Linked DNA regions of Kluyveromyces lactis. The protein of the gene in region 3 interacts with the protein of the main gene of each other region in a pairwise test. Links are inferred from orthologs where the notes say so. Each region holds a gene or a part of one and is shown on either strand. Other genes may lie near its edges.

Region 1 (2,554 bases), about 420 kb from region 3:
ATCAACCCAAAGTTGTAAACCCTGGGTGGATTCACCGTTATCCATCTTAACGGGGATTTCTGAATGGACAATCGCTTTGCCTGCAGTCATAAACTGCAAATCACCAGACCGTAGAACTCCTTTAGAACCAGTAAAATCCTCATGTGCCATCATACCGCGCAATACATAAGTAATGGTTTCTTGACCGTGATGTGGATGTTCCGGGAACCCGGCAGGTGGAGACACATCGAAGTTATCCAACATTAAGAATGGTGGAAAGTTTCTCATCTGTATAGTCCCAATGGACCTCTTAACAAGGGCACCAGCACCCTCACTCTGCTCAATGGCAACAAAGTGTTTCAACACAGAACGTACCTTACTAACAACGTTCAAACCCATCTATGAAGACATAACACGCTGATCTCTACTCTTTTCCAAGGCTTGTAAGACCGATGAGCTAGGTGATAAATAATAAACTGCAATCGATATAACCAGAACTAACACAGGTGTTGACAAGTTATACTTGAAGCTTAATTGTTGGAGCATACAATTTAGAATGACTTCTACAATTTTACCACTCAATTGAATTCCAATTTTGCAAAATTTTAGACCTAATCGATAGTTCGTATCCTTTATATACTTTAAAATCCAAATCAAAGTACCAATGCCTTACCCCGAATTACCAATACAAATGACTAGCCTAAGATGAAAACCTTAAGACAGACACAAGAAAATATACTTTCGAACAATGACAAATGTTCAAAATGTATAATAATGTATAATGATGTATAATAACATTGATATTTCTGAGGGAGTGCTGATCCTTTTGCAACTTACTCATCTTATATAAGCTCTCATCGGGTCCTGCAATAAAGTTCCTCTCCCTTTAGTAAGAGCTGACACATTTTTTTTTTCTGTCTACATTTAATAAGCAAGTATTCGCAACGAGTGTGATGCAGGGATGCTTATCGTGGTGCATTACCCTGATTAGTCAGGGTAATAAACTCAGTGTCTGCTTCAACACATTTGACTTTTATGGTTTTCAGTCAAGTAAATATTGAAATCCATATGAAAGGATGAACTTATTATTCAATTCAGAGTAATTATTTGTTAATAACGATAACACATTACATTCTTTATTAATGATGTTTTCTTGGCTAAAAAACGAATAATATTGATCATAGACAACTGCAGTGATCGAGCAAACTACACCTCGTTATAAGAAATACGTTATATTGGATATTCTGGTGAACGTTTTATATACTAAGGAAAAAAATACGATAGAATAGTTTGTCCTTGTTAATCATCATAGGTTATCTTCAAATTTAAGGAGAAAAGAAAAAGAGCATACAAGGTATACCTTCGGACCTTTATTCATACTTTTTAGTCACAAATTACCATGTCTAGGAAGAAGAATATTCTAAAAGTTATCATTCTAGGTGATTCGGGTGTTGGTAAGACATCTTTGATGCACAGATATGTCAACGACAAGTATTCTCAACAATATAAGGCTACGATAGGAGCAGATTTTCTTACCAAGGAAGTCATTGTGAATGACGATAAGGTTGCGACGATGCAAGTATGGGACACTGCTGGTCAGGAGAGATTCCAATCGCTTGGTGTTGCATTTTACAGAGGTGCTGATTGTTGCGTGTTAGTATACGATGTGACCAATGGTAAGTCGTTCGATAATGTGAAGTCGTGGAGAGATGAGTTTTTGGTTCATGCGAACGTCTCCTCGCCAGAAACCTTCCCATTTGTAATTCTAGCTAATAAAGTTGACGTAGAAGAATCGAAAAAAGTGGTTTCTTCTAGATCTGCGCAGGAGCAAGCTAAATCCTTGGGAAACGTACCTCTGTTCTTTACTAGTGCCAAGGATTCCATTAATGTCCAGGACGCATTTGAGGAAATCGCACGCAGCGCATTACAACAAAGTCAATCTGATGCGGATGCGTATGAGGACGACCTAAGCGAAGCTATCAATATTCAGTTGGACGGAGAACCTAGCTCATGTAACTGTTAACTGATAAAGCATGCGTCTCATCAAATACGACTGAAAGGGAAGGGAACAAATAGATTTTGTTGTCTTTTGCCCTTCCCTTACTTTCTTCACGCTAACCGTCAGAAAACACGCGTATTAGCGTTGGATTGTTCCCATACCGTATAGATACATCTCGGAACGAATCTTCAAGCAAATCTAATTTAACACACCTACATAGAAAATCTAAAGAAACTACGCTCCTTCGTGTAATTAGTCTTAATGTAATGTAATCTAAATCTCGAGTTGATATTAGAGTAACCATTAGCATGATTAGACTCTGCACAACACGTTTTGTTTGACACCTCTTTGGTGTCTTTGACCCCGACTTCTGTTTCTGATATGCGCACTTTATATAAACATTTGTACAGACACATGCCACACGTGCCGAAAAGTTTAATCTTCAATACGCTCTGGTAATTGCCGAAATGCAAGAACAAACTTCATACCAGTCGAAAACCTCGATCTGGTTGCGTCTAAGCTTGCTAGCCGTATTTCTAGTATAGTCACCCTTTTGATAATATATATATATATACA
Region 2 (2,578 bases), on a different chromosome or scaffold from region 3:
AAGTTGGTAAACTTTTCTCAGTTATCTTCTACATAAAGGCAAATGCTCATCGTCCAAACGTGAAGTCTCTTCTCGAAACGGGGGCATCTGGTCCAATTGAGATCAGAGAAATCCCAAGCTGGTTGAGAGAGAGGGCTATTAAAATCTTCAACGAAATTGAAAAAGAAAGATTGTTGATCAAGGACCTACCCGCTCAGGACATCTTGAAGACTAGGTATTTCTACTTGGCATCAACTATGTTCTATTGGGCTGCTCATTTAATCAATACTGGTGCTAGAGTGTGTCTGGGTCCATTTGCTAAATGTTATTTGGCACCCTTCTTGATGAAGTTAGACAGAATGAGAGATGTTTGTAAAATGGTCAACATTAAGGTTTACAGTATTTACGTGGAACTTGCATACATTCCAATAAGCCGCACGTTGTTACCTGACATAATTTCGATCTTGGATGACACAGATTTGACTAGCTCTCATGAATTACGTGTGAATTTGACTTTAGCAGAGAAACTTTTCTCCACACAATCGTTGGTTATGGACCATGCTGGTAAAGTGAAGATCTTAGAGTTCGTTTTGGACAAATTGTTCTGTAAGAGTTTTGTAGAGGTTCGTCTCAAGGCTTCCTATGTCCTTGCCGGTATCGTGCATAACATATCTTATGATACCGATACTTTGCACACTCTCTTGGAAAACTTCAAGCGTCAACTTGGTTCATATACTTTCGAGGAGAAAGCTGCACTCTCCAAATCCAACACAGATATTCACGGTGCGATCTTGGGTCTCGGTGCCATCATCGAAGCATTCCCGTACGTTTCACCGTTACCAAATTGGATTCCAGAGAATATGGCACTACTAGCGTCCTGGGCAAGAACAAGCGGTATGTGCGGTGCTGATGCAAAGAACATCATCTCTAGATACAAGAAAGTTAGAGCAGATACCTGGCATTTGGACAGATACCAGTTCACCTCGGAGCAATTAGAAGATATGGAAGGTGTTCTTTGGAGGAGTTACTACGCCTGAGAAGTTGCACAATCGACACAGATGACCCACAAGCTGCGTATGCACATGAATATATATGTACATCTACAAGTATAAATCGTATAATTTAACTTGACATTGGGTATGCCTATCACCATATACGAATTCGATCAGTATCTAGATTTTGGACAAATATTGTTTGAAAGGGTGAAAGCAGGATAGCCATCACGAAAGGCACTAACCCAAACACTTTACGGCCGAGCTATTAAAACCCAGATTCTGTTGACCAGATATAACCAGCTCGCCACTCCTCCAATATATCGAGATAAAATAACAGTGTTGAACTGTGATATCAATTTTTTTCACTTAATTGAAGCGTGAAGGAAACAAGGGAGATTGAAACTATAATGTCTGGATTAAGAACGGTTTCTGCTAACGGCAGCACGAATAAAAACTATGATTCTGTCATGAAGATTTTACTTCTAGGTGATTCCGGTGTAGGTAAATCATGTCTTTTGGTTCGTTTTGTTGAAGATAAGTTCACACCAACTTTCATCACCACAATCGGTATCGATTTCAAGATTAAAACCGTAGACATCAATGGGAAACGTGTGAAGTTACAACTTTGGGATACTGCTGGCCAGGAACGGTTCAGAACCATCACAACCGCATACTACAGAGGTGCCATGGGTATTGTATTGATTTACGATGTTACTGACGAAAGAACTTTTGAAAACATCAGACAATGGTTCTCCACTGTTAACCAACATGCTAGCGAGGATGTAGTAATGCTGCTAGTCGGAAATAAAAAGGACATGGATACAAGAACCGTGTCTTACGAACAAGGTGAAGCTCTTGCTAAGGAGCTAGGGATCCCATTCATTGAAGCCAGTGCCAAAGACGACACCAACGTCAGCGAAATCTTCTTCACATTGGCCAAGTTGATCCAAGAAAAGATCGATGATGGTAAGATGGAAGGAAAGGCTGAAAAGGAGGGAAATGTAAGCATTCGTGGCTCAGGCTCTTCAGGCTCCAAGTCCAATTGCTGCTAAACCACAGATCAGAGCGTACAATAAGAAATAACAACCTATGCATTGGCTTTGTGTGTGTACATATATATATATATTCAAATGGTATGTATTAGAAAGTTCAAAGGTAACTTTACACGACCATTCCAAATCAGGTGATTTACACGTGACGTAAATAATCACATGACCATCTCCACGTGCCACTCAAGATCAATATAAAATTGCCCAACTTTCCCAATATAAGGGCATCGATGATTATATAAAGAGTGCATTAGAAGGAAATGCAAATAAAGAAACAGATATAAGGATGGACTTAAAGATTTTATTTAGCCAATAAACAGTTGGGTAGATTTCTATTTTCTTGTTCAGCTTCCTTGTATCTTGAATTGAGAAGTGTAATCCTGATCACCATCTTCAGCTTTATAACCAGGAAGGGTTGCTGTTTATTATAACCCTTATAATATTGTCAAAAGAGGGATTTGGTCTTTTTAAATTCAAGGCACAATGCTATTTGGTGTGAAGCTAGCTAATGATACTTATCCCCCATGGAGGGATTCTTATATCGATTATGAGAAA
Region 3 (3,742 bases):
CTATCAAAATTGTTACCGTTTCAGAGCATCTGGTTGCTCTTGGAGAACTGCAAGAGATTCTCAGATCCTCCATTCTGATAAAATTGGATATTACAACTATATCGACTAACGAAACTGATTCCGCAGTTGCGAGTGTTGATGTCTTCAATGACATCGAACTTAATAATAAGAGTTTGGTGGTATTACCACAAGATTCTATAAAGTCTACATGTTTAGACGATTATTCTAAAGTGCTTGTAACGAAAGCTTCTAAAAGTGGTTCTACGGTAGCCATCTGTCATAGGTGAACAACAACGAACCCTAAATGTTTAATGGTTCAGTAGTTCCCGATTACTACCCTGTTTATTCAATATTTCGTCTACTTATATAAGCATTTAATAACACCACTGAGCTGTGCTTTAGTATAGAGTTGGGCAATCCGTTATCAATTACCAGTAAATCCATGCATTAGAAACATTATATCTGTCCTGATTCTAGATTCTGGTTCCGAATCTGAGTTTCACAATTGAAAAAGGTGATTAACTCAAATTTGTATACAATAAGATAATATGACGCGACAGTATTATTATCACGTGCACATGCCAGCACTAAAAATGAAATATGTCGCACTGTCGCTGTAATTTTACCATAGTAAAGTTTTGTCTGAAAGCACAGCAAGTTTAAACGATCCCTGAATAAAAATACCCTGACACGTTTAGTTTCCACATCATTTTAAAGCGATATTTCATTTCAAGCTGGGGCTCTGATTGCTATTGTTTCCGGTATTGTTCTGTCGATAATAACGGGAAATGATTCACGAGTTTAAAAAAAAATTTCTCGTTGCCAGCCGTGAAGATAAAAAAAAAAAAAAAAAAAAAATTGAAAACACATACTCATTATCTGTGCGAATTAAATACAGTTTTTAAAGGCGTAACTAAGATACATATCCATTAAAGTTTCCACCTCAGAATACCACAGGTACGTGGTACAAATAAACTGTTATTATCGAAAAGCACCAACCTTTCTAAAGCTAGAACCTGGAATAAGAAGCAGATCGAAAGAGTGCTGTTTTTGTCATTCTTTGAGCGATATTGGCGGTTGAGAATTTTTTTTTGGTTCTTGCAAACCGCTCAAAATTAGGCTTTACAGAATTCCTAATAACATTACAGGAACCTGTGAATAATCTCATTACTAGTAAAATTCCAACCTCTGAACCGTATCAGGCTATTTTTGGAATTTCTAAGGTCGTTCATATCTGACTTTTTGTTCTCTCGCTTTTCCCTTAAAGAGACATAAGAACTGGTTATAGAATAAGCTATATTTAATCTAAAGTCTCGGTTAAACACTACAAGCGGAAAAAAATTAAAATGCTGAATGCCGAGCGCCGCCCTTCTATGGCGGAACGTCGTCCTTCCTTCTTTTCTCCCGGTCCTGACGGCTCCTTACAATCAACTTCCCTCGTTGTGCCACATTTGGCTGGTATCGAGGATCCTTTACCGGAAACTACACCGGAACAAGTGGATGTACTCATTGCTGGTACCGGGTTGATTGAAAGTATTCTATCTGCTTCTTTAGCATGGCAGGGATCCACCGTTTTGCATATAGATTCCAATAACTATTATGGGGACACATGGGCTACAATGACAATTGATCAGTTGAAGAATTGGACAAATCAAGTGAATGAAGACTCAGACGAAACACGGTTTTACAAAGATGCCAGACTCTATGTCTCCGGGTTGGTAGCTCAGGGGAAATTCAAATCCAAGAATTTTGGTATTGATTTAAGTCCCAAGATTCTATTTGCACAATCCGATCTACTCTCAGTTCTAATTAAATCAAGAGTACATCAGTATTTGGAGTTCCAATCGTTATCCAACTTCCATACCTTTGAGAATGATAACTTTGAAAGGTTAACGAACTCGAAACAAGAAATATTTACTGACCAAACTCTTCCATTGATGACGAAACGCAATTTAATGCGTTTCATTAAATTTGTGCTAGAATGGGAAAAAAGCACGGACATTTGGAAACCATACGCTGAACAGCCACTTGCTAGTTTCCTAGTCGATAAATTCAAGCTAGAAAAACCTCAAGTTTTTGAATTAATATTTTCAATTGGTATGTGTCGTAATCTGGATACTAAGACACCAGAAGGTTTAGCAAGGATCAGAAGATTTTTAACTAGTTTTGACGTTTACGGACCTTTCCCAGTCCTATATTCAAAGTATGGTGGGCCGGGAGAACTATCTCAAGGATTCTGCAGATCAGCAGCAGTGGCTGGTGCCACTTATAAACTCAATCATAAATTGGTATCATACGATCCGAACTCCCAGACTGCGGTTTTTGAAGACGGTTCAAGAGTAAGAGTCACAGAAAAGGTTGTCGCATCCCCTACCCAACATCCCCAGAATGGCGGTAACATTCCTCCCCAGAAGTACGAAGTGCATAGGCTCACTTGTGTTGTGGAAAAAGACTGCTCACAGTGGTTCAGTGAAGGAGAAAGTGCTGCTATGGTCGTGTTCCCACCTGATTCATTGAAGACAGGAAACGTTGAAGCCGTACAGGTGGTGATTTTAGGCTCAGGAGCCGAAGTTTGCGAACCAGGTACTTGCGTTTGGTACTTCTCAACCACTCAAGCCGGTCCTCGAGGTGATTTGGACCTTGATGCTGCACTTGAAGCAATGATCAATAGTATTTTAAGGGAGTCCTCGGATATACCCAATGAGGATGAACTTGTACAAATCAATTCAAATGGCGTTCCACTAGTCAACAGTGTAAAACTGGGACAGTCGTTCAAAGAACTCATTTCAAAAGAACGGGTAAACTTCATCATGAAATTGTACTATACTCAATACACATCCACTCCTCCATTTGATATTGTTACTCCAGACTTATTTGATTTGAATAAATCTAAAGAATTTATTCCTGGCGCATCAGATAATGGAATTCTTTATACTTCGTTGCCATCAGGAGAAGTGTCATATGATGAAGTTATTACTGCAGCAAAGTTCCTTTATGAAAAAATAGTAGGAAGTGATGACGATTTCTTCGACCTTGATTTTGAAAATGACGAACCAGATCTAAAAAATACCAATAAAACAATTAATAGCTACGATGAAAGTGCTATCGCAGATGATGAAGAAGATATTCAAATGATGGACTCAGAGCCAGTTGAATTTGCAGGCGAGATGGAAATATGACATAGCGTCAAGCTTCTTCAAGTTTTCAAGCGACAATGCTTTCAATTCCAATAGCATCAGTATTCCTTCTTTGACAGATTGATTGAAATAACCCGATGTGTCTAACCTTGTATTATATGGAATTATCTATCCACAAAAGAAAAAAGTGACATCTTCTAGATAAGATTTGCGTCACATAAGCATATTTTGGATCCAGCTGTATTTCTTACTGCGAATTGCACTCTTTGATATAAACATACCTTTATTCAACCCACTACCTGGGAATCTTAAAACGAAACGTTATTTAAGTTATCCATAGAAGGCAGATGCAGGAAAAATTCATACTTGTTTTCAGTTCCTGGAAATCAAAAATAGCAAAACCTTAATTAAGATTATACATGATATTAACCTAACTTCTCATACATAAAGTTAACAAAAGAATAGTGTTCGGCTTCTTAACTGCTCTTTGATTTAATTGTCATTCTCGAAAGCGAGGAAAAAACATTAAATTAAAGCTCAGAGGCGGCTTCTTATCTCCAGTAATGATTCTAATTGTTTCCCAGCTTGGTCGAAGTTATTTTTCG
Region 4 (2,439 bases), about 330 kb from region 3:
AAGACAGAATCGCCGAGGCTAAACTTGTTAACACCGAAGGTTTCGTTTGGTCCAAGGATGCAAAGAAGTTTAACTCTATTGTTGGACCAAACGGTAGAAATATCAGAGAAATCAGAAATGCCACTAAAACTGTTATCCATGTTCCAAGAAAAAGCGATAAGGTTAACAATGTTATATATGTCCTAGGCTCTGAAGAAGGTGTGAAAAAGGCAGCTGAATTGATCTGCAAGAGATTAAAATAGTTTTAATGTTTTCACTTTGTCCGTTCCTTTGATCCAATTCTTGTATTTATTTCCTCTATTGGTGTTCAACGCTGCACAGATTAGCACTACATAAGCTTACATTAATACCACATAATTAATCATGTATACTGAATACACTTAAAACCTATATCAAAAAATGTAAACAAAACTATTTCTTCAAAATCCTCGGTTGTTCCTCAATGTTAAAGATTTATACGGGCTAGCGTGTGTTTCATGGTTATACGTAAACGTATATATATATTTATTGTGGCCTGAAGATCTATATGCAGGCATACGAATAAAGCCGTCTTCATGAGCAACAAGACTGTGAATCATTTGTACTTGGTCTTTGCAATGATATATTATTATTATTAGGTTTCTTCGATTCCTGTATCTTATCTTTGTTCTGCAAATATAATCTTTCACCAATATCTTGGAAGACTTTGATTACGTTTTCTCCAGTCTTAGCACTGACCTGGTGGAACAACAAATTATTCTCTTGTGCAAACTCGCGTGCGTCCGCTTCATCGACTAAAGAGGTCGATTCCCTTTCAGATACTAGATCCAACTTATTCCCCACAAGACAGATGATCAACTTATCGTCATTTACCTTTTCTTTCAATTCATCAACCCAAAGCTTGGCCTTAGGCAAAGAATCTGGTTCAGTGACATCGTACACAACTAAAGCGGCATTTGCATTACGATAGTACATAGGTGCCAAAGATTTATAGCGTTCCTGACCGGCCGTATCCCAAATTTCAAACTTCAAAACTTGTTCATCATACTCTTCAGATAATTTAATAGTTTGTGAAAGAAAAGCTGCACCTATAGTCGATTCCCTGTACTCATCAAACGAGTCTTTGACGAATCTATGAACAATACTGGATTTTCCAACAGAAGAATCTCCCAACAATACTAATTTGAACTGAAGCATAATTTATGGGAAGTAAATTGCGATATTTTAGAAAGAATCAGCAGTATAGGAAACCTGGGGTTGATATTGGTGAATGCTCGAAACAAAATGTCCAATACGACTTCTACCCGCGGTTACTCGTTCCAGTTTCTCTACTTTTTTATCTTTTTATCTGGAAGGGATGAAACCTGTTGATTCTGAATTTAAAGGTTTCAATGACTGAAAGCCTTTAAGTTGGATAATACGAATTGTCGATCACGTGATTGGTAATTTGAGGGGAGTTCGTGACGTTTAAAACAATGACAAGAGGCTGATTTGGTTGATAAATATAGTTGGGGTGTGTATTGATTAAATAGAATAGAATAAATAGTAGCTAACATTAATCGAATAGAAGTGAAATGAAGTGAAGTGAAGTGAAGTGAAGTGAAGTGAAGTGAAATGAAGTGAAAGAAGTATCGTGCGCATGCTTATTATCTCATTCAGTAGACATCTTAACAAAGCCCAGCTCGTTAAGCCTTTGGATAGCGGCCCCGATCTTCTCTGCTTCCAAGAGTTGTTCTTCCTCGGGCCAATTATCAGCCTCGGAATCCTGCTCAGCGATAGAAGTCATTGAAGAGTTGGAATTAACAGTTGATGCTGCAGTGGTGGTGTTTGCCGATGGCGTGGGTAGTCCGGAGTAGGTGATGTAATCATGCGATATGGAAGAACACACTGAAGATTCACGAGAAACTGGAGGCAAAGGCTCCAATCTGTGAGTTTCCCTGTTGTGTCTAAGATGTAAAAGATTTAATATCGAAGTAGTAGTGTTCGAGATATTATTGATTGGTGATTCGATCAACTTAATGAAAGAGGAGTTGACGAAGGGGCAATGGAATGAGTTATGTGGCGAGACAAAACAGGTTCTGATATCTTGCCTTAGTTGAGGAGAAGAGTACCCTATCAAAAGCTCCAAGATGTTGAGGATCTGAGGTAATCTATGTTCTTGTAGGGGGCAATACAATTCCTCTGAAGCTTGTAGCAACCAGTCGTTGAACTTGTCCTCGAAAATGCATAAGAATCTATTGACAGTGGTTCTTTCGACGGACAGGTTATGAGTATGTAGCAATAGGTAAAGGGATCCAAATTGGATCAAACAATCTTGAAATCCAGCCACGGAGTTGTATGGTTTTCCACTAAGTTCGGTGAAGAGAGACCAATATACTCGAGAATTGGCAGAGAGATACCCGTAGTTGAAACACAAAGCGTACCAGTATTTACCCAATTCTGTAAGAATTGAAATGCGTT

The links. The genes of interacting proteins can lie anywhere in the genome.
Region 1: the proteins of MRS6 (region 3) and YPT7 interact in a protein complementation assay, tested with the Saccharomyces cerevisiae proteins (3 studies listed by BioGRID, with this or other methods). The link is inferred for Kluyveromyces lactis from reciprocal best matches to the Saccharomyces cerevisiae genes MRS6 and YPT7.
Region 2: the proteins of MRS6 (region 3) and SEC4 interact in a protein complementation assay, tested with the Saccharomyces cerevisiae proteins (2 studies listed by BioGRID). The link is inferred for Kluyveromyces lactis from reciprocal best matches to the Saccharomyces cerevisiae genes MRS6 and SEC4.
Region 4: the proteins of MRS6 (region 3) and YPT52 interact in binary tests that used the Saccharomyces cerevisiae proteins (3 or more experiments, as listed by UniProt). The link is inferred for Kluyveromyces lactis from reciprocal best matches to the Saccharomyces cerevisiae genes MRS6 and YPT52.

The regions. Positions count from the first base shown.
Region 1 is NC_006040.1:109,406-111,959, forward strand, and holds YPT7 (Rab family GTPase YPT7), read left to right. Parts: upstream 1-1,378; coding exon 1,379-2,002; downstream 2,003-2,554. Other genes in the region: KLLA0_D01243g (pirin family protein), read right to left, coding at 1-378. UniProt on the Saccharomyces cerevisiae protein: Ypt/Rab-type GTPases are key regulators of membrane trafficking and intracellular vesicular transport.
Region 2 is NC_006041.1:1,073,918-1,076,495, forward strand, and holds SEC4 (Rab family GTPase SEC4), read left to right. Parts: upstream 1-1,381; coding exon 1,382-2,026; downstream 2,027-2,578. Other genes in the region: proteasome activator BLM10, read left to right, coding at 1-1,016; VTC2 (vacuolar transporter chaperone), read left to right, coding at 2,507-2,578. UniProt on the Saccharomyces cerevisiae protein: Involved in exocytosis. Maybe by regulating the binding and fusion of secretory vesicles with the cell surface. The GTP-bound form of SEC4 may interact with an effector, thereby stimulating its activity and leading to exocytotic fusion.
Region 3 is NC_006040.1:533,077-536,818, reverse strand, and holds MRS6 (GTPase-activating protein MRS6), read left to right. Parts: upstream 1-1,346; coding exon 1,347-3,179; downstream 3,180-3,742. Other genes in the region: KHA1 (Kha1p), read left to right, coding at 1-287; KLLA0_D06215g (uncharacterized protein), read right to left, coding at 3,675-3,742. UniProt on the Saccharomyces cerevisiae protein: Substrate-binding subunit (component A) of the Rab geranylgeranyltransferase (GGTase) complex. Binds unprenylated Rab proteins and presents the substrate peptide to the catalytic component B.
Region 4 is NC_006040.1:200,249-202,687, reverse strand, and holds YPT52 (Rab family GTPase YPT52), read right to left. Parts: upstream 1,177-2,439; coding exon 553-1,176; downstream 1-552. Other genes in the region: SCP160 (Scp160p), read left to right, coding at 1-242; KLLA0_D02354g (uncharacterized protein), read right to left, coding at 1,631-2,439. UniProt on the Saccharomyces cerevisiae protein: Required for transport in the endocytic pathway and for correct sorting of the vacuolar hydrolases suggesting a possible intersection of the endocytic with the vacuolar sorting pathway.